3 linked regions of the Lonchura striata genome follow. The protein of the gene in region 1 interacts with the protein of each later gene in a pairwise test. Links are inferred from orthologs where the notes say so. Each region holds a gene or a part of one and is shown in the gene's direction. Other genes may lie near its edges.

What was found.
Region 2: the proteins of RANBP9 (region 1) and OPRM1 interact in binary tests that used the Homo sapiens proteins (3 or more experiments, as listed by UniProt). The link is inferred for Lonchura striata from reciprocal best matches to the Homo sapiens genes RANBP9 and OPRM1.
Region 3: the proteins of RANBP9 (region 1) and MKLN1 interact in a two-hybrid assay, tested with the Homo sapiens proteins (2 studies listed by BioGRID). The link is inferred for Lonchura striata from reciprocal best matches to the Homo sapiens genes RANBP9 and MKLN1.

Annotation. Positions count from the first base shown.
Region 1 is NC_134603.1:89,018,938-89,026,235, reverse strand, and holds the start of RANBP9 (ran-binding protein 9), read left to right. Parts: upstream 1-4,239; coding exon 4,240-4,702; intron 4,703-7,298. UniProt on the Homo sapiens protein: May act as scaffolding protein, and as adapter protein to couple membrane receptors to intracellular signaling pathways. Acts as a mediator of cell spreading and actin cytoskeleton rearrangement.
Region 2 is NC_134605.1:55,700,927-55,708,227, reverse strand, and holds the start of OPRM1 (mu-type opioid receptor), read left to right. Parts: upstream 1-4,224; coding exon 4,225-4,544; intron 4,545-4,894; exon of another isoform or gene 4,895-4,930; intron 4,931-7,301. UniProt on the Homo sapiens protein: Receptor for endogenous opioids such as beta-endorphin and endomorphin. Receptor for natural and synthetic opioids including morphine, heroin, DAMGO, fentanyl, etorphine, buprenorphin and methadone.
Region 3 is NC_134607.1:69,883,613-69,890,729, forward strand, and holds the start of MKLN1 (muskelin), read left to right. Parts: upstream 1-4,092; 5' UTR 4,093-4,118; coding exon 4,119-4,213; intron 4,214-7,117. UniProt on the Homo sapiens protein: Component of the CTLH E3 ubiquitin-protein ligase complex that selectively accepts ubiquitin from UBE2H and mediates ubiquitination and subsequent proteasomal degradation of the transcription factor HBP1.

The DNA of each region.
Region 1 (7,298 bases):
CTCTGTTGTGAGAATATGTGTTTGTGCCATCAGGACAGTTTTATTCTTACTGGTGCTGCCTGAAGGGTGTCAGCCAGAGTTGCTCTTCCCTCTCCTCTGGCTCTGGATTCCCTGAGGAGAGCAATGGGTGTACTGACAGCTGATGCCCACGAAGCACATCTATCTGGAGGATATGACTCCTGGACTGAGGGACTGATCACCTGCACTCACTTTAAAACACATGTTCCACACGTTGACTCCCTGCTGATAGGCTCAACGAGAGGCCAAACAAATACCCTCAGTGCCTGGAATGCTTGGATCGCATTTTCTTTGGTAGAAATTTTCTTTGGTCCCTTAAAGTAAACATAAATGGAAACCAAGCATATAGAAGAGAATGTTTGCATTTGAATGTCAAAATTAGGCCTAAGAAAACGGGGGCATGGCTTTCTGCAAAGCTAAATAATCTTTAGCTGATCCATCTACTGAAATTCTTTGAAAGCATCAAAAAAAGAAACTACCCCCAAAAAACAAAGCGATTTTGGTGGACTAGTCAATGTTTTACAGTGTTTCAAAAGGCCTTTGATTAAATCTCTAAGCAAGAGGACTCAAGCAGCTAAATAATCACTGGGCAAAAAGAAAAGTACAATCATGGTTCAAAAACTGGAGATGGCAAACAAAGAGCAGAATTGAACTGCAAGTTTCTATGATGGTGGAAGGTTAATGCCAGCCAGCTTCGGGGCTCTGCGGCATGTCTCATATTGCTGCTGTATTTACCACTGATCTAGAAAGAGGGCTGTATTGTGAGATGGCAACATTTGCAGCTGTCATAATTATTTCAGCTAAGCAAGACAAGAGGGGACTGTGATGATGAGGAAGTGCTAACGAAACAGAATGCACCATGTAATGGCAAATTAAATTCAATACTGAAAATGCAAAACAACGCACATTAGGGAGGGACGTGAGTTCCACTTCGAAATCTGACAAGCTTCCATTCATTTATACTAAACTGGAAAGTAAACTGGGCATTATGTAAATATCTATCTGCTATTTCTAATCCTCACAAAGTTGTAGTCAGAAAAGTTAGCAGAACACAGGAGGAATAAATAACATACTGGTTAATGCCAATTATTAGAATTCTCTATAAAACCTCTGGCATAGTGTGCAGTCAGAAAAAGTGATGTGAATGTGTTTGTCTATGGGCATAGTTTGGAGAACAAACTTTTATAAAAAACAGTGTTCTGCTACACTTGGATTATTTATCCTTGGAAGATGGCAAAAGATGTGATAAGAGCAACCAGAGTAGCAAAGTAGCAAATAATGTCAAGAAGTAAGTGCAGAAACATCTTTCTCCTGTCTTACTGTTCAAGAAACAGAAACCTCATGGTGGCAATCTCAAATGGTGACATGAAGCATTTTGGCACAAATGCTAGAAGTGAGACACACTGAGGAAATCGATATGGCAGAAATTTTATTGATAATCACAAAAGACTTAAGACACATCTACACTTATGAACATAACAAATGTATCTCCCAATGTCTATAGTTGGCCAAATACTTACATTTTTAATGAAAATGTAAACAACCAAGCTTCATGGTTTACAACAACATCTAGATATTAGAAAGCAAATTTATATATAGTGGGAGCCTACAGTGCCAGGGTAACTGACCCTCGGGCATGGTCCAGCTTATGTTTCAACATCTATCCTAGGCACTTCTACACTTGTACAGTTTGCAGCTCCTCCTGATAGGGTATTTTTAGATAACTGCATTTTGTCCAGCCATAAATGCTATTAGACATCACCAAGCAGTTGCATGTGACAGGATATTTTGGTAACTATAGGTGAGAAATGTTTAGCTTCATACAAGCCTTTGTTAGTGTCACACCTCCATTACCTCACATGCCATTTCACACAGATGAAGCATAATTAACCTCCTCTGTTTCCTGCTTCTGTGCCTATACTCCAATATGCTGGCAACTGGAAAAGGGTTTGTGAAGTGATCAATATTTCAGGTTCATAGAATCACAAAATTGTTAGGGTTGGAAGAGATCATCCGGTCCAACTTTGTTGCCAAGGCAGGGTCACCTAGAGCAGGTGACACAGGAACACATCCAGGTGTGTTTGGAATGTCTCCAGAGAGGGAGACTCCACAGCTTCCCCAGGCAGTCTGTTCAGTGCTCTGCCATCCTCAGTTTAAACTTCTTCCTCATGTTCAGGTGAAACTTCTGTTTTAATTTACAGCCACTGCTCCTCATCCTGTTGCTGTGCACCATTGAAAAGAATCTGGCACCATGTTCTTGACACCCACCTTTGAGATATTTATATGCATTAATGAGATGCCTTCTCAGTCTTCTATTCTCCAGGCTAAACAGGCCCAGCTCCCTCAGCTTCTCTTCATAAGAGAGATGTTGTTCCACACCCCTCATCATCTTTGTGGTCTCTGCTGAACCCTCTCCAGAAGATCCTTGTTTTGCTTCTACTGAGGAGCCCAGAACTGGACACAGGTTCTAGACTTGCCAGTGACATTACTTTCCTTTTCTAATGTTTTCCAAGGTAAGCTTGCCAATCTGTAAACCACTTCTCTCTCACTGCTGCCATGTGAATATATTAGTGTGGGCAACCACTGAATAACCAACAACACTAAGCACAAACAAAACCATCCAGCAACATACAAACCAAAGGGAAACAGGCCCCAAACAAAACCCCCTAGAAACACTGCGCTGCTCCTCCTGTCCCCCTGAGCTGAGGCATTCCCAAACTTTCTCACCTCTGGGAAATGCTCTTAGTGGCGTTTCCCCATACCAACTGTAGTGCTGAACACAAGGTGTGGGCAGCAGACCCGCGTTGTGCCTGTCAGGAGACGCAGCCTCCCCGGCGGCACACACCGGCCTGTCTCCAGCTGTTCCCCAGCCGCCATCCCTAGTCAACCCCAATGGAGGCAGAGCAATGCCTCCTTCTCCTTCTTCTCCAGCTCAATGTCATGACCCACAACAGAAGGCAGCATAACTGTATAATTTCACCAGGAGGGGACAATCCCCGTTGGACTCACTCCAGTTACTCAATCCTTTTGCATCGGTCATTAATGCACTGAGGGTTAATGCCTCTCTCCCCATTACCCCTCTGAGCGTCAGCTTGACTTTGTCCCAGAGAAAACCTTTCAACACGTCCGCGTTACACCAGAAATCTTTTCAACAGGTCTGATGTGCCCAGGTCAACACCGAGAGGAGAATTATCATTACAGTCTCACGACTGTAATGCCAGTGACAGGACTCGAGGAAACAGCGTGAAGCTGTGTCAGGGGAGGTTTAGGGTAGAGATCAGGAAAACATTCTTCACCCAGAGGGAGGTTGAGCCCTGGAACAGGCTCCCCACGGATGAGGTCACAGCACCAAGCCTAGCAGAGTTCAGGACACATTTGGACAAAGCTCTCCAGTGGTATATTCTGATTCCATGATCATTTCATAACTAGGGGACAGGCACCACTGGGCTGGCCTTCGGCAGCAACACCAGTAATCCCCTGAGGGTCAGTGTCCCTTTTCCCACTACCCTCGGGGGGTCGCTCAGACTTCCACCTTCCCGGACCCGTGGCGAGAGCAAAGCTCGCCACGGGTCCGGGTCACGCCAGGGAGCCCCCAACAGCTCCGGACGCGCGGGTGCCTGCAGCAGCAGACCCAAGGGGCCCGGCCGTGCCCCCGGTCGGTGCCCGCAGTCCCACCCCCGGCCATCGCCCCGTCGCTCTCCCGCCCCGCCCTCCGCGCCTCGCGCCCGCCGAGGGGCGGAGGCCCCGCCCCGCCGCGAGCGAGCGGAGGGCGCGGGGCGGGGCCGCGGCTCAGCAGACGCGGGGGCGCGCGGCGGCGGGAGCGCGCTGGCGGCCGGACGGAGCGTGTGCGCGCCGGGCGCGCCCCCGACCGGAGGAGGGGCCGGGGGCCGAGCCAGCCCCGCCGCCGCGGCGCCCGCTCCCCGCCCGCCTCCCGCTTCCGCCCGGCGCCGCCGCCGCCGCTCCGCCCGCCTCGCCCCCGGCCCCGCCGCGCCCCGCGACGCCCCTCGCTCCCATCGGGCGCCTCCGCCGGCCGCCGTCACCGCCAATCCTCCCCCACCCCGCGCCCCCGTGTTCTTCTGAGACGCTCCGGTTGTGGGGGTGACCCGCGCTCCGCACGGCCCCGGGCCTGCCCGTCGCTCCGCCCCCGGGCCCGTCCGGTGACAGTCGCGACCGCCGCGGGAGGTGGCGGTGGAGGAGCAGGAGGAGGAGGCCGGAGCCGGGATGTCCGGGCAACAGCAGCAGCAACAACAGCCGTCGTCGCCGCAGCTTTCCTTGGCGGCCGCCGTTCCCCCGCCGGCGCCGGGGATCCCCTCCGCCGCCGCAAGCCCCGGCCCCGCTCCGGCCGCCGCGCTCCTGCTCCACCCGCCGCCGCCGCCTCCGGCCACCGCGGCGCCGCCGCCGCCCGCCGCCGCCACGGCCGGCAGCGGCGGGCCCGCGGCCGCGGGGGGCGGCGGGGCCGGCGCCGCGCTGGGCCTGCCGGCGGGGAGCGGCACCGGCGCCCCGGCGCCCTTCCCGCACGGAGACCCGGCCCTGAACGAGCAGGAGAAGGAGCTGAAGCGGCGGCTGAAGAGGCTGTACCCGGCCGTGGACGAGCAGGAGACGCCGCTGCCCCGCTCCTGGAGCCCGAAGGACAAATTCAGTTACATCGGCCTCTCGCAGAACAACCTGCGGGTGCACTACAAAGGTGAGGAGGGGCGGCCCGGGCCGCCGCGACACCCCCTGTCCCCCCCGGGGCCGGGGGCTGCCCGACCCCTCCGTCGAGCGGTGGCCACAGGAGTAACAATAACAGGAAATAACACACGCTCCTCTCCCTCCTTCTTCCCTGTTTTCCGATCGCCTAAATTCCCCCCCGCAGCGTGGAGATAAGGGGCTTGTTTTCCCTTATTTCAGGTTTATTTTTCTCTCTTTTCCCCTCCCCCCCGCCCCCCCCCCCTTCTTTCTGTCGCCGTGCGGGGAAAGGGGGGGACACAAGGGGCCGCCCCCGCCTCCTTGTGCTTCTGGAGTGGGCATTATGTAAACTCCGAGACTTCCTCCGTGGATTCAGGTATCGCCGGAACGTTTGGGTCGGAGGCAGGAGAATAAAGGACGCTCGGCATGACGTGTCCTGTTTATGGTAATGAGCGAGAAAAAGAAGTAGCTGCTTTTTTTTTTCACCTCTCGAGAAGAGCAAGGGTTAAATGCAGTTAAGAGCAGCAAACGTTAAGCTATTGAACACGGAAATGACGGGAGGGGAAAGCACTGAGAAAAACACGGTTTATTTTTAATCTGTAAAAAAAAAATTACTTTAAAGTCACTGGTAATAGTCTTGCCTAACTATTGCACAGAGTGATCTGAGGGAAGGAACGACAATAGGACTTATATTAATGAAGGTGACTGAAACTTTCTTCCTAGACGTTTCACAGTTAAAGTTACAAATTTTCAAATAAAATGTAAAAACCAGTATGCTTTTGTATTAAAAAATAACATCAGCGAGAATCATTAGAAGAAAAACTTGTGTTGATTGTTATGAAATGTCATAAAACCTGGAAACATAAGCCTACACTCTGACCTGAAAAAACACAGTCACATCTGGTGTTCTAGGCCTAAAGTCCTGAAGTAGAAGTGTTGTGGATTCAAAGCCACTTTTGAGTTGGCTGTGAAGAACTGGATCTTTTGTCAGTCTGTAGTCAAATGAACGTAGTGGGAGGGGAAAAAAACAGCCATGCAATTACTCTTTCTCAGAGTTTGCAGTGGAGAAATTCAAGGGAAATCTTGATAAATATGTTACTGTTTAATCGGAGGAGGAAAACGGCAACACAAACACATGGCAGGATTTGGCTGCCATGAAAGGATTAAATGTACTCTCAGACTTTTTTTTAATAGAGAGGTTTTATTATTACACGCAAAATACTCTGTTAAAAATGCTAAGTTTAATGCACCGTACAAAGGTAATAAAGGAGCTGGATGACTACAAAGCAGGTTTCTAGGAGGCACCGAGTGATTTAAGGATGTGTAATTTAATACTCTGAATTTCCTGGCTTTTGTTCAGTGTTTTATGACCTTGTATTTTTAGAAACATTTTGTATTTTCTGGTGCTTAGTGGCAGTGGGTTGTTTGGTTTTGGTGTTTTTTTCTTCTAAGATGATCATAGCTTAGTGGCTATCAACTTCTGCTGGTTTGTTTTGCTTTGGTCAATTTTTTTTCTCATCAGCTAGAATTTAGAGGTCAAACCTCTCTGATCTCTGTGTTATTTCAGAAGTATATTTTCAAGCTTTCCTTGTGCTGTCCCTGTTTTTCCTCACTTAACTCCTTTGCCATGGTGTTAAGGGAAATCATTACCTCAAAGAAGTTACGGAAGTCATGAAACACAGTTAGTAGGTTGTAACAATGAAGTACCTTTACTCTAGCTCTTAAGTTATAGTAAGTGCTGAAGTTTGAAGAGTTTCCTAGGTTAGCTGAAAGGACTCTGAAAAGGAGGTGCCAATATAGCATGTCTGTACTTTTCTTTTTCCTAAGTGCATATGGAAGTAAATGACTTCTTAAGTGGCCCATCTTTTCTACTGGATAATTTAATGAAGGTGGCTGTTAGGGCAACTCCATGTTTATGTTACCAGCTTGGCGCTTGGAACTGCTAACTGGGCTAAGAAGTGAATGGTATCTGAGTATTTCTACCTGAGAACCAGGGGGCAAACATGCTAAACATCTCCTGCCTTTTCTCCCTCCTGGATCCTTCAGCCCTAAGAATACAATAAAAGGGGAGAAAATGAGGAGATTCAGTGAAGAGAGTAAGGGAAGATGGCAAGTAAGAATGTGCTTAGGACTGTGAAATAGTGTTTCTACAAATTTGTTTTCAAAAGAAAGTGCTCATTGCATCTTCTTTTGTAATTCTGGTGCTTTCAGTGCTTCTGAAATTACCTAAGTATTAGTGGAAGAACATCGGATGTTTTTTTTGAAAGAAAATATGAATTGACCAGAGCTAAAGAACTGTTGTATTCTTGATGAAAATATTCAAGGAAAAGCCAGTAACCTAAAGCAATTCTTACTATTTTCTACTACTGTAGTATAGGTGCCCTGTACGCTTAAATTTTCTCTTCTGCCTCTGTAGATTTCTAGCTATAGATCTGTTTTTCTGGAGCACTTTCCTTCTGTTCTGTGACTGATTAGAGGCAGAAAGTGTTAACAGTAGTGCTTTGCCTTCACCTTGGGTGTGCTTGGGCTACTGAAAAAATTAGTGGAGAGGAACAATCAGCGCAAAAGCATTAAAAGTATAGTTACCTTCATAATTTTAATGTGCTGATGTA
Region 2 (7,301 bases), on another chromosome or scaffold:
ATGATGGCTCAGAGTTTTCCATTTATTTCTGAATGCCTTGTGGAACCTGTGAGGCCCATAACAAATATTTTATTAGTGCATTCTGAGGATTTCCTAGAAGTATATAACTGTATTTAAATTATCTATTTGAATCTCCTTCCATCAGCAAAAGCTGTTTTATGGCCACATAAATATTTTTCCCTACATTACCATCTGTGATTGGGCAGAGTAGTCAGTCTCTGTGGACAGTATTTCTCCAACAGGAGCATCCTTTGTGTATGCCTAACGCTGCCTTTCTGGCATATTAGAGAAATCAGTATTTAGAGTGAGATTGACAGAGATTACTCTTAAATTATGTGATCTGTATCTGCACACGTGCAGGGAGAGACAGAGACAGCACTAGGTGGGGGAACCTAAATAATTCTCTGCCATGGCTACTCCAGAAGCCACCAGAGGAACCACCATCCCAAAAAAAGACCCATCTCCTCACACAGGAAGGAGCCCCAGGACACAAGGGCGGGTAGGAGAACACCAATAATGTCATCAGAGAAATGAGATCTCTCCCTAGACTGTCCCCAGGCTGTCACAGGGGAGCTTCAGCCCCATGGGCCAAGCACTATAACCAACACCACAGGGGAGTAGTTTCCTGGAGCACTTCCCAGACTGTGGGGTGTCACTGCTAGGGATATGGGACACAATATGGGATTCAGGAGAAGAGTATCTTCGGATTGCACAAAAACGTGTCACAAGATGCTTAAGGGAGGAAGAGATACAGGCAGGAAAAGGGAGGGATACAGGCCAGCCACTGGGTACACTAAGGCTGCAGCCTCAGGGCCCCTGTGTCCATGTGCAAACAGCTGGGATGCAGGGAGCAGCTACTGGGCAAACTGTCTGATCCAGATCCTCACTGGGAGAGCCTTATGGTGTACATGTACACACATATATTCCCACTAGGAGATTTTCACCCTGAACAGCCGGAGAGGGAGCAGGGTGAAGCTGTTGGTGCAATTTGTGTTTCTCTTAGTGCTATTTGTGTCTGTGCTGGTCTGTGGGGCCAGATGTGTGTATATGTTTATGTGTGGGTTCTATAGACCTGACTATTGGGAATACAAACCCAGTCTAGCTATTAGCTGGACCTAAGGGCACAGAGCTGCAGCAATCTCTCCTCTGTTGACCTACTGGATTTGGAAAGCCTAACCAATGACCAGGAATTGAACTTGCCAAATACCTAAGAGCTAGAAAATTGTAAGATTGTATGAACTGAACTGTTCCACTTACTATTGTATTAAATTACATCACACATTAACTTCCTCTAAACCCTTATGTCATTAACTACAGTGGTCATTTTTTGGAACATCTTACACTCTTCTCATTCAATATGTAGCTCCAACTCAGCAAAAGTAAAATTATTAGTTTGTCAAGGATAGTTAAGAATATAGCTAACTATCAAGGACAGCTAATAACTACAGTCCTTAACAAAATGTCATGAATCTGCTTTGTAGCCTTGCCAGATAAGGAAATTGAAGACTATCGTCCAGGTTGGAAGAGACCTTAAAGATCATCTAGTCCAACCATCAATGTGGTCCAACTGACACCCTTCAGACTTGTTATGCAAACACAAAAACTATCACTTATAGCTACATTTATTAAATTTAGAAGTGACATTTTATTTTCTACAATGGCAGAAGAACTCAGAGATTATGAAATTTAAAGTACTTATTTTCAACTAATGGATATAGTATTTGCCACTCTGCAGATTGCCCTTATCTGCAGAGTCACTGTCACAATCTAGAAAGGCAACACGGGTGATCTGTGAATAAAGAAATAATGCAAATGACTAAGACTGCTTCATTTCTATGAAGAAGGAAAAAGCTGAACTACTACCAACAAGAAGTAATTACTGGTCTTCAATTTCACAAACACCCTTTCACCAGAATCTTGGCTACACAGTACTATACTATCTGAAATTATTTGAAGAAAGGGTCTCGCACATTATTACAGCCAAAATGACCTTTACCATCTGAAAGCATTATTCTAAGCACTTATTTCACATTGCCTATGTCCTTTGAAATAAGACTTGTAATAACTTTCCAAAGAGGTGCATTCAACTATCACTCCCCTACCTTGAAAGTTTGTTTAATGAGGCCTGTCATAAACAGGCTCAACTCCCAGGGCTTTTTGCCAGCCCTCTCCTCATCCTAAGTTTTCATCTGCACCTGCCAAAAGTTTGATTTATTTAAGCATAATACTTTTTTTTGTGCAATCACTTTTCTGTGAGCAGTCATAAAGATGTGTATTATAGCTCAATTTACCTCAGCATCTGTTTTTAAGGGTTTTTTAAATGACATTTTAATGTAATTTTTAAGTCATTTTTAATGCACAAAAGGGCCTTCTGATAGTGAGGATGATACAAACCTGGCTATGACACAAGATACAGAATGGATCTCCTGGCAGCCTTGATTTTTGCTCCCCAACTTCCCCATCCCTTCCACAGCCAGACACAGTTGTATTCAAAGGGCTAAATACTAATTGTGTACTTGTGGCTTACCTTAAACTCTTCTGATGGCTTTGGTGCAACAAAGGGCAAGCACAGAGAGAGGCTCCCACACTCTGTGCACATACCCAGAGATTAAAGTCTCTGAGAAAAGCCCAGTTTTAAAGCCTTGTTCCTCCTGCTCTGTGTATGACTATACATGCAGGGGATAAAGAAGCAGTGTCTTTGACCACGTAAAATCTCTGAGTTCTTGCTTTCATTTGTCCATAGCTATTTCCAGAGACAAAAATATCTCCTATTCTAAAGCTCCTCCTAAATGCAATGCTAAATGGGCTCTCTCCTACTCAATGAACGATGATGAAAATACTCTCTCTGGCCATGAAGCAATACATGCTATCTACTGAAAGTGCCCATTAATAGCTTACTTGTCCTTCTCCTTCCATTTTCACTTTAGAATGAAAAAAGGAATACAAATTCTCCAGATCTATATCCCTCTCGAAGTCCAGTGATGCCCCTTTCCCATTCCCTCTTCTTCCTCCCCACAAATTATCAGATAGACATCGAAAGAGTGTGTGGTCAATTCCGCTACTGTTACCTGCCCTGAGCAGCACTGGTTCCCCCTGCTTGTGGCACAAGCACATACTTATACTAAAATGTCCAGGATCTTTCTCTTAGGCTGCAACTTGTTTCTTCTCTACTTTTGTCATTATCACTCTTGAAATAGCGGGAGGTGCTCCGCGCAGGGTGAGCAGAATAAGTGCGCATCCACAATGAGGCAGTGGGAGCAATCACTGCTACTCTGTCACCTTCCTGTTCACCAGGAGATATTTTTTCTGCCTTGCCAGGGAGCTCTTCTGATTTCATTAGTGAGACAGTAAATGAGCTAAGTCCTAATAATCAGCCATCAGGCAGTCCCGCGCCTCTGCACGCATTTGAAACAACTGAACACGAAAAGGTACCGGTGAAAACAAGCGGTGTGCGAACTAAGCACCCAGTAACATTGAGTGCACAGCTTAAGAACGGTTTTGATGTCGTTCTTATTTGTGATATCACATCCGATAACAATCACACCAACCAGGGGAGAACATCCTTGGAGCTCTGAACAGAAGGTCCTCTGAAAATCCTGAGGATCCATGAGATCCGAGTCATTTCTAAAGGACAATTCTGTTCACAACCACCCCTCCGAAAGTGTTGCCCTAAAGTTCGTCACATTTTATTACAAGGTTCTGTTATCTCTATAATCACTGAGGACATCGTTTTGCCAAGATCCCTGTCTTACTACGATAATCTCTCGCGCATCGATCTCCTCTCTGCACCGGCCTTTATCTCGCCAAGTCAGTCTCCGCCGGTTTTGTCTTTCCGGCGCTTGCCACCGATGCCCGCGGCTCTGGGGAACGAACATGTTAAGCGCCTTGCCTTCAAGTGCCACCTGCAGGGGAGGCGCACACCGCCGGCGCTGCCCCCCGCAGGTGCGCCCCGCTCGCCGCTGGGGGCGGCCGCCACCGCGTCCCGCCGGCCTGGGAGGAGCGGCGGCGGGCAGCGGGCGCGGAGGCGGCTCCCGCCGCTCCTGCGGACACGGCCCCTCCTCCCGGCCCGCCCCGCCCGCCTCACACATGTGCCCGCACCCAGCGGCGGGGCGCACCGTCGGGGCGGGCGGGTGCTGTCGCCTCGCCGACACCGCGGCAGCAGCGCGGCGCGCCGGGCGTCCCTCGGGCGTGGGGAGCGGGCGGCCGCGCTGACAGCGCTGCGCCATGGCTGTCGCCTACCTGCTGGGCAACGGGTCCGCGCCGCTCCTGGCCGGCGCCCTGGAGGTCCCGTTCGCCGCCAACGCCTCCGCCTGCCGCCCGCCCGGGCCGCCCTGCCCGGCCTGGGGCAACGCCTCGGCGGCGCTGGGCTGGAACCGCTCCGAGCCCTGCGGCGGCGGCAATGGCAGCGCCGGCGGCGGCGGGCCCTGCGCGCCCACGGGCGGCGGCCCCTCCGTGGTTACCGCCATCGCCATCATGGCCCTCTACTCCGTGGTCTGCGTCGTGGGGCTCTTCGGCAACTTCTTGGTCATGTATGTCATCGTCAGGTGAGTGCCTGCCTGCCCCGCCCCGCTGCCCACGGCCGCTGCCGTCGGGGCGGAACCCCGCCGCCCGGAGCCGGGATGCGGGACGGTGTCCCGGCGGGGATGCTGCGGTCCCCCTCCGCCGGGCAGCGCGCTGAGGGGTGCGGACGGGCGCCGGTCCCCGCGGGAAGGGGAAGGAGGCTTTTGATAAAGAGCCGGAGCGGGTGACGAGGGAAGAGAAACTTGAGGTGGAGCAGTGAGGGCCGGCCGGTCCGTCAGAAGCCGCTGCGCGTCCGAGAATGTTCTAAAGACCCTCCGACCCCAGCTGCCCACCTCTGCGAGTGGCTCTGGCCAACGGGGCCTAAATCCCGTACCTGTGCCCTAAGGAGCGAGGATTTAAAGAGACTGTGGCCACTGCCTGTGAGCGTGTACGGGTACGGGGTGGTACACGGATAGCCGGCACGCATCCACCTGTCTTTCCACCCACCTCTCCCAAATGCACGAACAAAATGTAAATGGCACTGTGGTTAAACGCTTCCTGTGGCCGTGTTTGGAGATCCTCTGCCTCATATCTAGATCTATATGTGTATATTGAAATACATTTATATATGTGTATAGACATACATGCGTATACACGTGTATAAATACGCATGCAGTGATGCGACCGCTTTCTGTAATCCCGGCGTTCCGGCTGTGCTGCGGCACTTCGCAACTTTCTCGCCCGCAAGAGAAAAAGCCCCAGTGGGGCTCTTACAAATCAGATCACGCGCGATAAATCCATTGCCCGTAAATGAGCGGAAAACGAGTGAGAGAGATGAACAGAGGCTCCCTTGCCGGCCTGGCCGCGGAGCCGGCAGGTGGCATCCGTGGGGGAACACTGCCACCTCCCGGGAGCGACGGGCCGGGGGCGCGACAGGACGGGCCCGACTGAGCTCCTCTCCCTTCGCGGCTGCTCGTCGTTTCCAAACCAAGCATCCCTTGAGCCCTGGAGAGCTCAGCGGGCGCTTTTAAGGGAGGAGATAGGGGTAGCCCAGGGGCGCTCTCCGTTCCTATGGAGGCAGCCCCAGCACTTCCATTTCTCCTCCTCGTCCGGAGCGTCCGTTCTGCCTTTAAGCTCTGCGTTCCCCGAGAAGTCGGGCCCGCAGGAACCGGGGCTGTCTCTTGGCATCCCTGGTGCACCAGCGGCAGCGGGCGGCTTTGTGGCGTGTGTGTGCAGCGCAAGCTGTGCCAGCTGTAGAAAGCTGGGGCTGAGGGTCGCGGTCACGGTGGGGTATTGCAGCAGCATGGAGGATGCGGCACGTGTTAGGGATGTCACTGCACAGCCTGTGCATCTGGTAGACCCAGTGGGAACACAAGTGATATCCATCAGTGGTTCAGTCTAGAGCAGTTCAGAAGCCTTGTAGGTTTAACTATGCTTTAAAGGCTACATACACAGAGCTGGGGAGATTCTCTTCTGTCTTGTGGTTTTGGTCAGTCTGAAACTCAAGCTGTCTGTGTGAGGATACATCTGCAGAAAGGCTTCTGAGTGGGGGCATGACTGCAATCACTGTAGCAGTGTTGAATGCATTCCTCTGGGAGGAAAAGCAGATGCACAGTGTAACAGAGACAGGATAGCTGTCAGCAGAGAAATATGCTCCACCTTGCCCCTGGAATTATGTATTTATTATCCTGGGCATAACCCTTACTAGGTTCATATTTCTTACAGTAATTAATTGAATTACACTTGCACCACAAAGCCAAATCTAATGAGGTACTTGTATTTAGATTCCTATCTAAAGAAAGCCTTTTTCTCTGAGATGACAGCTTACAAACAAAAGCCAGAAGCAATAGCAGAAAGCAAAAATATATTTTCATTTTACAGAGGAAAACAAAAATTAAGTGGCTTGTCCAAACCATCAGGATTGTTATGGCAAACCCCACATCTCCTTTGCAAGAACAGCTTTTGGTGTGACAGAATTTGTTCCCAATTAACACCACACAGCTGTTTAGCAGTTAGGATGACAAGGAATTTACATGCTAATGGCTGAATAGGATCTGTGGCTCAAGCAACATAAAAATACATTCTCTTTCTGTGTTTCTCTGCACCTGTCGTGTATCTGGTCAGCAATACAGGACTTAGTGATTGCATTTCCTGCTGCAAGCTATACTAGCTTGAAAGTGTTTCAAATTAGAATATGAGCCTATGAAATGGTGACCCTATATGTCCACATTCGTGCCTCCTTTCATCCAACTACATGTAAGAGGCCAAAGTTTCACTGGATTGAATTTGTCACCATATAGAACTCCCCTTCATTTGCCTTTCCCATGCCTGCTCAGGAAGGACAAAACATTGATCTTCAAATTAATTGCGAGGGAAATTGAGGCTACTAAAAATTAACATTTTTGAATAATATTGGTATCTAGTTTGTCTTGAAAATACTAGGAGTTGGGAGGTAGGTGCTTAGATGTTTGAAACTGTCCTACTCACCTTTCACCCCAGTGAAAGCAACAGTGACTTCAGATCAAGTGTGCTGCATGCTAACATCTCATGCTTGGTTTCTTTGGAAATAGTTTTAAAATAATTATATCATTCTTATAAATATTATTACTCTTAAAAATTTTCCACATGAGGCAAATCCAGGGGTTTGGAGCCAGAGCTGTGCAAGTGCTGGCCTGAAATGGAACTATCATTATCACTCGACAATGTCACCCTGCTATCTCTGCTGGGGCAAACAGAGGTCAGAAAGCAGATATGTCCAAGGAGGAGCTGGAAATGTATTGTGATTATCAATGTGAAAAGAA
Region 3 (7,117 bases), on another chromosome or scaffold:
TATTGCTTTCATTTTTCTGGCGTTACTTGGCTCTTCCACGAAACTTGTTTTCATCCTGAACTATGTGCTCATTACATATCCAAACGCCCACGCGAGGTTTTGCATGAGGAAACTCGAAACACACGAGCAGTAGAGAAGAGTTTCTGATGGGGGGGATGAGAAATTTGTCTTGAGACCGACAAACAATTGTAAAATCACCCAGTTTCCTGCAGTTGGGGTTCCAGCTCGCTGATGACAAGCATGAAGATGCTGTGTGTGCATCCTCCTGGCAAAGAGACGTGGGGAACATCTCTTGTGGTCACCTTGGCCTTTCCCAGAAACTCCAGCTACTGTCCAAGGCACACGTCCAGGGTGAGTTCTCTGGCAGGCTGGTCCCTGAACGCCAAAGGGACCTTCTGCTGCTAGGAAAGCTCTCACTTCCCCTCCACGGCCCCATCCTCAGAGAGCAGCCAGCCACAGGCTGCACGGATCCACCCAGCCAGCTCTGGGCCAGGAGGCACCAAAACGTGCTGGAAGGTTTCAGTGAAGTCCCAAGTGAGGGGGCAGAAGCAGGAAAACTCTGCACGAGGTTTGCTTCGTAAGGACAAGGAAGCTTGTGAAGGGCCTGGAGCACAAGTCTGATGAGGAGCAGCTGGGGGGGCTCAGCCTGGAGAAAAGGAGGTTCAGGGGGGAACTTCTCACTCTCTACAACTCCCTGACAGGAGTGTGCAGCCAGGTGAGGGTTGGTGTCAGCTCCCAGCAATGAGATGAGAGGAAACATCCTCAAGTTGTCCCAGGGGAGCTTTAGATCGGACGTTACAGAAAATTTCTTTGCTGAAAGTGTTGTCAAGCACTGAAACGGGCTGTTCTGGGTAGTGGTGGAATCACTATCCCTATAAGTGTTCAAAAATCACATAGATGTGGCACTTGGGGACATAGTTTAGTGATGGGTTTGATACTGCTGGGTTAATGGTTTGACTTGATAATTTTAGAGGTCTTTTCCAACCTTAATAATTCTGTGATTCTATGTGTAAGTGCCCTCTTTGTGGTACTTCCCTGGAGCAATGGGTCTCAGTCACTGCTGGAGGCAGGATGAAGCATGTTGGTGGCATTGGGCTCCCCAAATTCCTCAGATCCAGTGTTACATTGGCAGAGCAAGCAGAGCACAGGCCTGGATCAGCACAGTGGGGTTCAGATACTCATGTTTTCTGAATTTTCTCCCCTCTTCTATGGCCCTGTCATTAGCTGGGCCCCAGCAGCTGCCCTGCTTGGGATACAGAGAGCTCATCTGGAGGCTGCAGGCTGTCCAAATCCGCAGCACAACACTGCCTTGCACATCATGCTCCTCCACACTGTGCTCTGTCCACTCGGAGTGTGGAAAAACCCTCTTCTCCAGCAGCCAGTGGTAACTGCACAGGACTGGGCAGGCTGTGCTGGAGAGACCAGAGGCCTTGGTTTGCAGCTTTGGATTGCTCTGCTTCCTCACAGCCTTCCCTGCTGCCTGTGCTGCAGATGAATAAAGATTTTCCAGGGCTGTCAGTACTGTGTATTTCACCAGCATTCCCTTCACTTTACGTCCAAAATGTGCTAAAAATACGCTGGCTTGGCATCCAGGTCTTGATTCAAGTGGTAACAGGATATTGGGCAGAGAAATCCTGGGGTGGTTTCACTGTGCAGCAGCCAGCTGCTGGCTCTTCCTCCTTTTCCTCCTCCTCCAGGCTGCTGCAGGGCTGTTACCCCCACTCTCAACCCACTAAATTTCATATTCAGAGGTCACAGGTTCCACATGGCATTGCTCCCCTTGGGCTGGTTGTTAGCAAGGCTCTGAACACTGAGGTGACGTCTCTTCCTCTAGGCTTGGGAGTATATTATCAGCAAAGTATTTGTTTTATTACTCCTGTGGTAATTTTGGGAGGGGGATGCCTGCAGGCTGGAGCTGGGATAAGTGAAGTCTGAAATGCCACGGGAAAGCCACAAACTTCAAAAGGCCTTGTTAGTGAAGCAGCAGAAGGAGATGTGGATGTTTGTACCTCATCATCCATGGATTTTGTTGTGTTGTTGTCGAGTCACATGGCTTTGATACCAGTGGAAACACAGCAAACCCCCTCTGGGAAGGGGTCTTCAGATGAAGTGCTTTCTGCTCCCCCTCATTTTTGAAACACCCAGTTGATGTTCAGCCTTCAAGGCTGCTGAGCGACTTTTTCATCCGCAGGCAGATTTTGCTGCCACATTCTCACTCACTTTCCTAAAATAAAGGGGGAAAAAAAATAAAAGAATCCTTGTGCTAATTTAATCTAGCCAGGCATCCTGCTGTCCTGCCTCATAATATCTCTCCAATCTGTCATTTCCAACAGACAGTGGTTTATTGGTTTGGCTTTTTTTTCCCCCCCCCCCTGTGGTCTTGAAATATCTCCCCTTCTTTCTCAAGTAGTCCAGAACTCCCCCAGGGGTGTCCTAAATTTCCCCCTTGCTTTGGTGGGAGCTCTGGGTGAAAACATCTCCCTGCTCCAGGAAAAACCCTACAACAACCTCAGACAGAGAAAAGGTCATCAAGGAATGCCAACTTATGTGCTGGTCCTGTGAGTGCTGCGTTGCTGGTTGGACTCAATGGTCTTAAAAGTCTTTTCCAACCTTCACAATTTTATAATTCCAGGAGCTGGTGTATGATCAAACATCGCTGGGTTTCTCTTGATCCCTTTCCCAACCACCTACCCTTGTGGGCCAGGGAAGGAGAATCTCCTTTGCTAATTAACACTCCTCAGCCCCCTTGAGCCCCCTCAGGGCATCCTTCTCCAGCCCCATGGGGCACCCTATTGTAAATGCAGGCAAACCCAACGGGAAGAAATGACAATGTCTGACTCAATTCAGAAGGCTGAATGTTTTCTTTATTATAACTATGGTGAAATACATTAATATACTATATAAAAAGGAAGATAGTAAAACTACATACTATTTTCTTTAACTCAACTCGTGACCCTCTCTGAGAGTCCAGCCCCAGGTGGGTTGGATTGGCCATCAGCTCAAAAAATCCTCACCAGAATCCAACCCAGCAATCACCCCAGGGAAACAATTCTCCAAACACATTCCACATGGGAAAAACAAGGAGCAGAAATAGGAACTGTTTTCTCTTTCATTTCTCTCTGTGCACCTCTATGAAAAATCCTGAGAGGGAGAGAAATGTGCTTGCCACTGCACCCCCTGAGCCCCTCAGCCCCACAGTGCACGACCCAAGCTTCTCAGCTCACCTCAAACTCTTGAGACATCCCTTGAGCCCCTCTGGGCATCCCCTGAGACCCACAGCTCCTCTGAGCCCCTCAGGCCATCTCAGCTCCATGGGAATCCTCTGAGCCCCTCTGGGCATCCCCTGAGACCCACAGCCCCTCTGTTCCCCTCAGGCCCTATTCAGATCCATGGCCATCCTCTGATCCCCTCAAACCCACAGCCCCTCTGGGCTCCTCAGCTCCATGTGGTATCCCCTCAGATCCACAGCCCCTCTGAGCCCCTCAGGCCACCTCAGATCCATAGGGCATCCTCTGAGCCCCTAAAGGCATCTCCTCAGCCCCTCTGTTCCCCTCAGGTCACCTCAGCTCCATGGGGCATCCTCTAAGCCCCTCAAGGTACCCCCTGAGACCCACAGCCCCTCTGGGTCCCTCAGCTCCATGGGGCATCCTCCAAGTCCCTCAAGGCATCCCCTGAGACCCACAGCCCCTCTGGGTCCCTCAGCTCCATGGGGCATCCTCCAAGTCCCTCAAGGCATCCCCTGAGACCCACAGCCCCTCTGGGTCCCTCAGCTCCATGGGGCATCCTCTAAGCCCCTCAAGGTACCCCCTGAGACCCACAGCCCCTCTGGGTCCCTCAGCTCCATAGGGCATCCTCTAAGCCCCTCAAGGTACCCCCTGAGACCCACAGCCCATCTAAGCCCCACGGGACACCCCCGAACGCCTCAGGGCACCTCAGTCCCAAGGGGCAGCGTCGGATCCCTTCAGCCCCACGGAGCAGCCCCTCGAGTCCCTCAGAGCGTCCATCCCCCCCTCGCCGGCGCGGCCCCTTTAAGAGCGCGGCCCCTTTAAGAGCGCGGCCCCTTTAAGAGCGCGGCCCCGCCCCCCGCGGTCGCTGCCGGGGCCGCTGCTGACAACAAGATGGCGGCGGCGGCGGGTCCGGCGGGCGCGGAGAGTCGCGTGTTGGCCTACAGCCTGCACCGCTGGAGCAGCTTCTCCTCCACCTACCTGCCCGAGTGAGTGCCGGGCTCGGCACCGCGCCTGGAACGCGCTCCGGCCTCGGGTCTGGGGGTGGCCGGGGTGGCTGGGCCTGTGTGCGGCCTGCGCGGGCCCCGCGCTGAGGAGGCCGCGGCGGGGGGAGTGGGAGCGGAGCTGTGTGCGAGCGGCGTTCTGTGTGTGAGAGGGCTCCGTGCAGCAGATTCTGGGAGGCCGTGTGTGAGCAGGGTCTCTACAGGACGGTTTGGGGCGGCTGTGTGTAAGAGGGTTCTCTACAGCAGGGTTTGGGGGGCTGCGTTTGGCGGAGGTCTGTACTGCGGGACTTGGGGGTGTTAGTGGGGCAGGAGGTGCTCAGCAGGGCTGGAGGTTCAGGGACAGGGTTCCATCACTTGGGGCTGTGTTTGGCGAAGTGGCTCATGGAAAGATTTCGAAGGAGTTGCATGAGGCAGAGGGTTTGGGCTTGCAGGTTTGGGGAGATGAGTTAAATGGGGAGGGCCTGGAGAGACAGGTGTGGGGGTGCCTTTAGCACGAGGTATGAGCAAAGGAAAGTTGCAGCTAAAGAGGAGAAGCTGACCCCAGATTTGGGGGAAGAACAGGTGCCGGTATGGGAGAGGCTGCTCAGTTACTGTGTGAAACGAGAAGGGTCAGTGCCTCTCCTGCCCTGCCTCTGTCAGGTGCTTGTGGACTCTGTGTTTTTTGGCAGCTGGGCGTCCTGTCCTGCCCCGACCTCTGGAATGCTGGGCTGTGTCTTCTGCTTTGTGTGGCTTTAGGGGAAAGGGGTCACTTGCTGCCCTAATCGCTTGCCTCTAGGAATTTGGGGGTTGGCAGGAGCTGTTACAGCCATCGCTTTGTGCTGCCGTGCCAAGTGATCCCATCCTCTGTTGGCCATATGGCATCCAGCTGCAGCCCGCTGACAGTCAAGTTTGGAGTGGCCACAGCGTGGTTTAGGTGTGGTGGTTTTGGTGCAGCTTTTGGATAAGCCATCCTTGGTGCTGGAATTCAGGAGAGCTGCTGGGGTCACAGCACAACGAGCTCATCATGGGCTGTCGAGACTCATCCGATCATCGATTGTGCTGCATTTGCTGACCTCTGATTGATGTGTCCTGAATTCACCCGCTATCAACAAGTGACAGAGTTGCCTTAGTTGTTAATTATTAATATCCTCAATTATCTCCACTTTCCAAAATGAAGCAAACCTCTAAAACCAGGTTTTTAACTGAACTCGGAATTGTTTTGTTTTTCTGTATATTTTCTGTGTTAGATGTGAAAAAGAACTGGTTTATTTTCTAATTGGTGACCTTTGGTGGTAATTAAGCCATCCCTTTACCTTTCCTGTTAAAACAGCTTGCCCTTAGGGTGTCTCTTTCAGGTCTCTGATGGTCTTGTAGTTATTTCTACTGGCATTTCTGGCTTTTAAAATCTTGTTAAAGTGTTGGTCCCTGAGGAGAGGGGTGACAGTCCATTATTGATCTCAGTGATGTGATAGAAACACAGAGTATTGTCTTTGTCCTTGATATTTCTTTCCAAGTCTTCCATTAGTCCCTTTTGCTACTGACTCGTGTCAGGAAATTTCACGTGGCATCTGCAGTGCTGCCCAAAGTCCTTAATGCCTTCCCTGATACAAATTCCCATTCCTGTAGCTGGGATGGTATTTTACAAATGTGTGACCTTGCATTTGGCTGTTTTTAAGATGTTATTTAAAAGAGTTTGTCATCAGTGAAAACAACTTTATCTGCTTTTAAGCACTGTAATCCCAGCAATGGGCTTGTCCTCTGGTGTGCTGACCTTGGTCTGAGGGATTCTGGTCCTTATGTGTTGTCTTGCTATGGAAGTTTTGGGTTTTGCTTGCTAACTTTTTATTTCCATGGCCCGCGAGAGAGCTGGAATACAGTCTGACTTGGAAAGGAGAGGCTTTGACCTGTGATTTAAGATCAGCCTCTCAAAAAGAGAAAGTTTAATAAGAAATATATGGGAGGGTGGGTTTTTGGGGATGGAAATGTTGAAAATTGCTGGGACAAGACCATAGCACCCTGTGGGATGAACACGGAGCTAAAGGTTCTCTTGGTATTTAATACGTAGAACAAAATGATACTTGTCTAGAAGAACTTCATCTTAGAGGATGTTTTCCAGCCTGCATGATTCTATGACATTGGGAATTCTAGTTAGGCTGTAGTTTAAATAAATTTGCTGGCATAGATAGAAAGAAACCACTTAAACCTTTAAGGAGAAACAGGGCTCTGCCCTCATGTATGTAGGAGTGAATATACAAATTATTAAATATTATTGATTGTTGGGAGTTGCGGTATTGCAGGCAAAGTGCTTGGGGAGGAGCAGCAGAGGAGTTAAGCATGATTTAAACACATGCCTTAAGTAGTTTTATGGTTTTAAATGTAAAACAAAATTCTGGAATGTAAAACTTTCATCACTGTTGACCAGGGAAGAAATTAGAAGTGTAGTGACATCTCACCTGCTTATGTGATGCTGTACTGCCATTGAAACTTTTCAGAACACTGAAATCATCTGATAACCTCTCTTTTAATTAAAAAAGCCTAAACAGTGCAAAACGAAAAGTGTTTTTCAAAGGCCTTTCTGGTCATGCTCTAGTTGAGGATCAGTAGTCTATTGAAAAGCACTTATTTTCTTTCAGTGACACAGAAGCTTCCTCTGCTGAATGCCAGTGTCTTTCCTATTGTATTTGGTGGTGGTACTGGAGGATTAGTTAGTGCTGCATCCAGTTTCTGGCTGCAGCTACCTGCGTGTTTGCAAGGACCTTTCCAGACATTAAGTGAGGATTGTCTTCATGAAAATAAATAGTTCTCCTCTTTTTCAAATCACTGGAGTTGTCTATTGGTTTGTACCTGCAAGAAGACTGACTTGGTTATTTATTTTAAAAACTTTGGGTAGAAATCAAAGAATTGATCTGG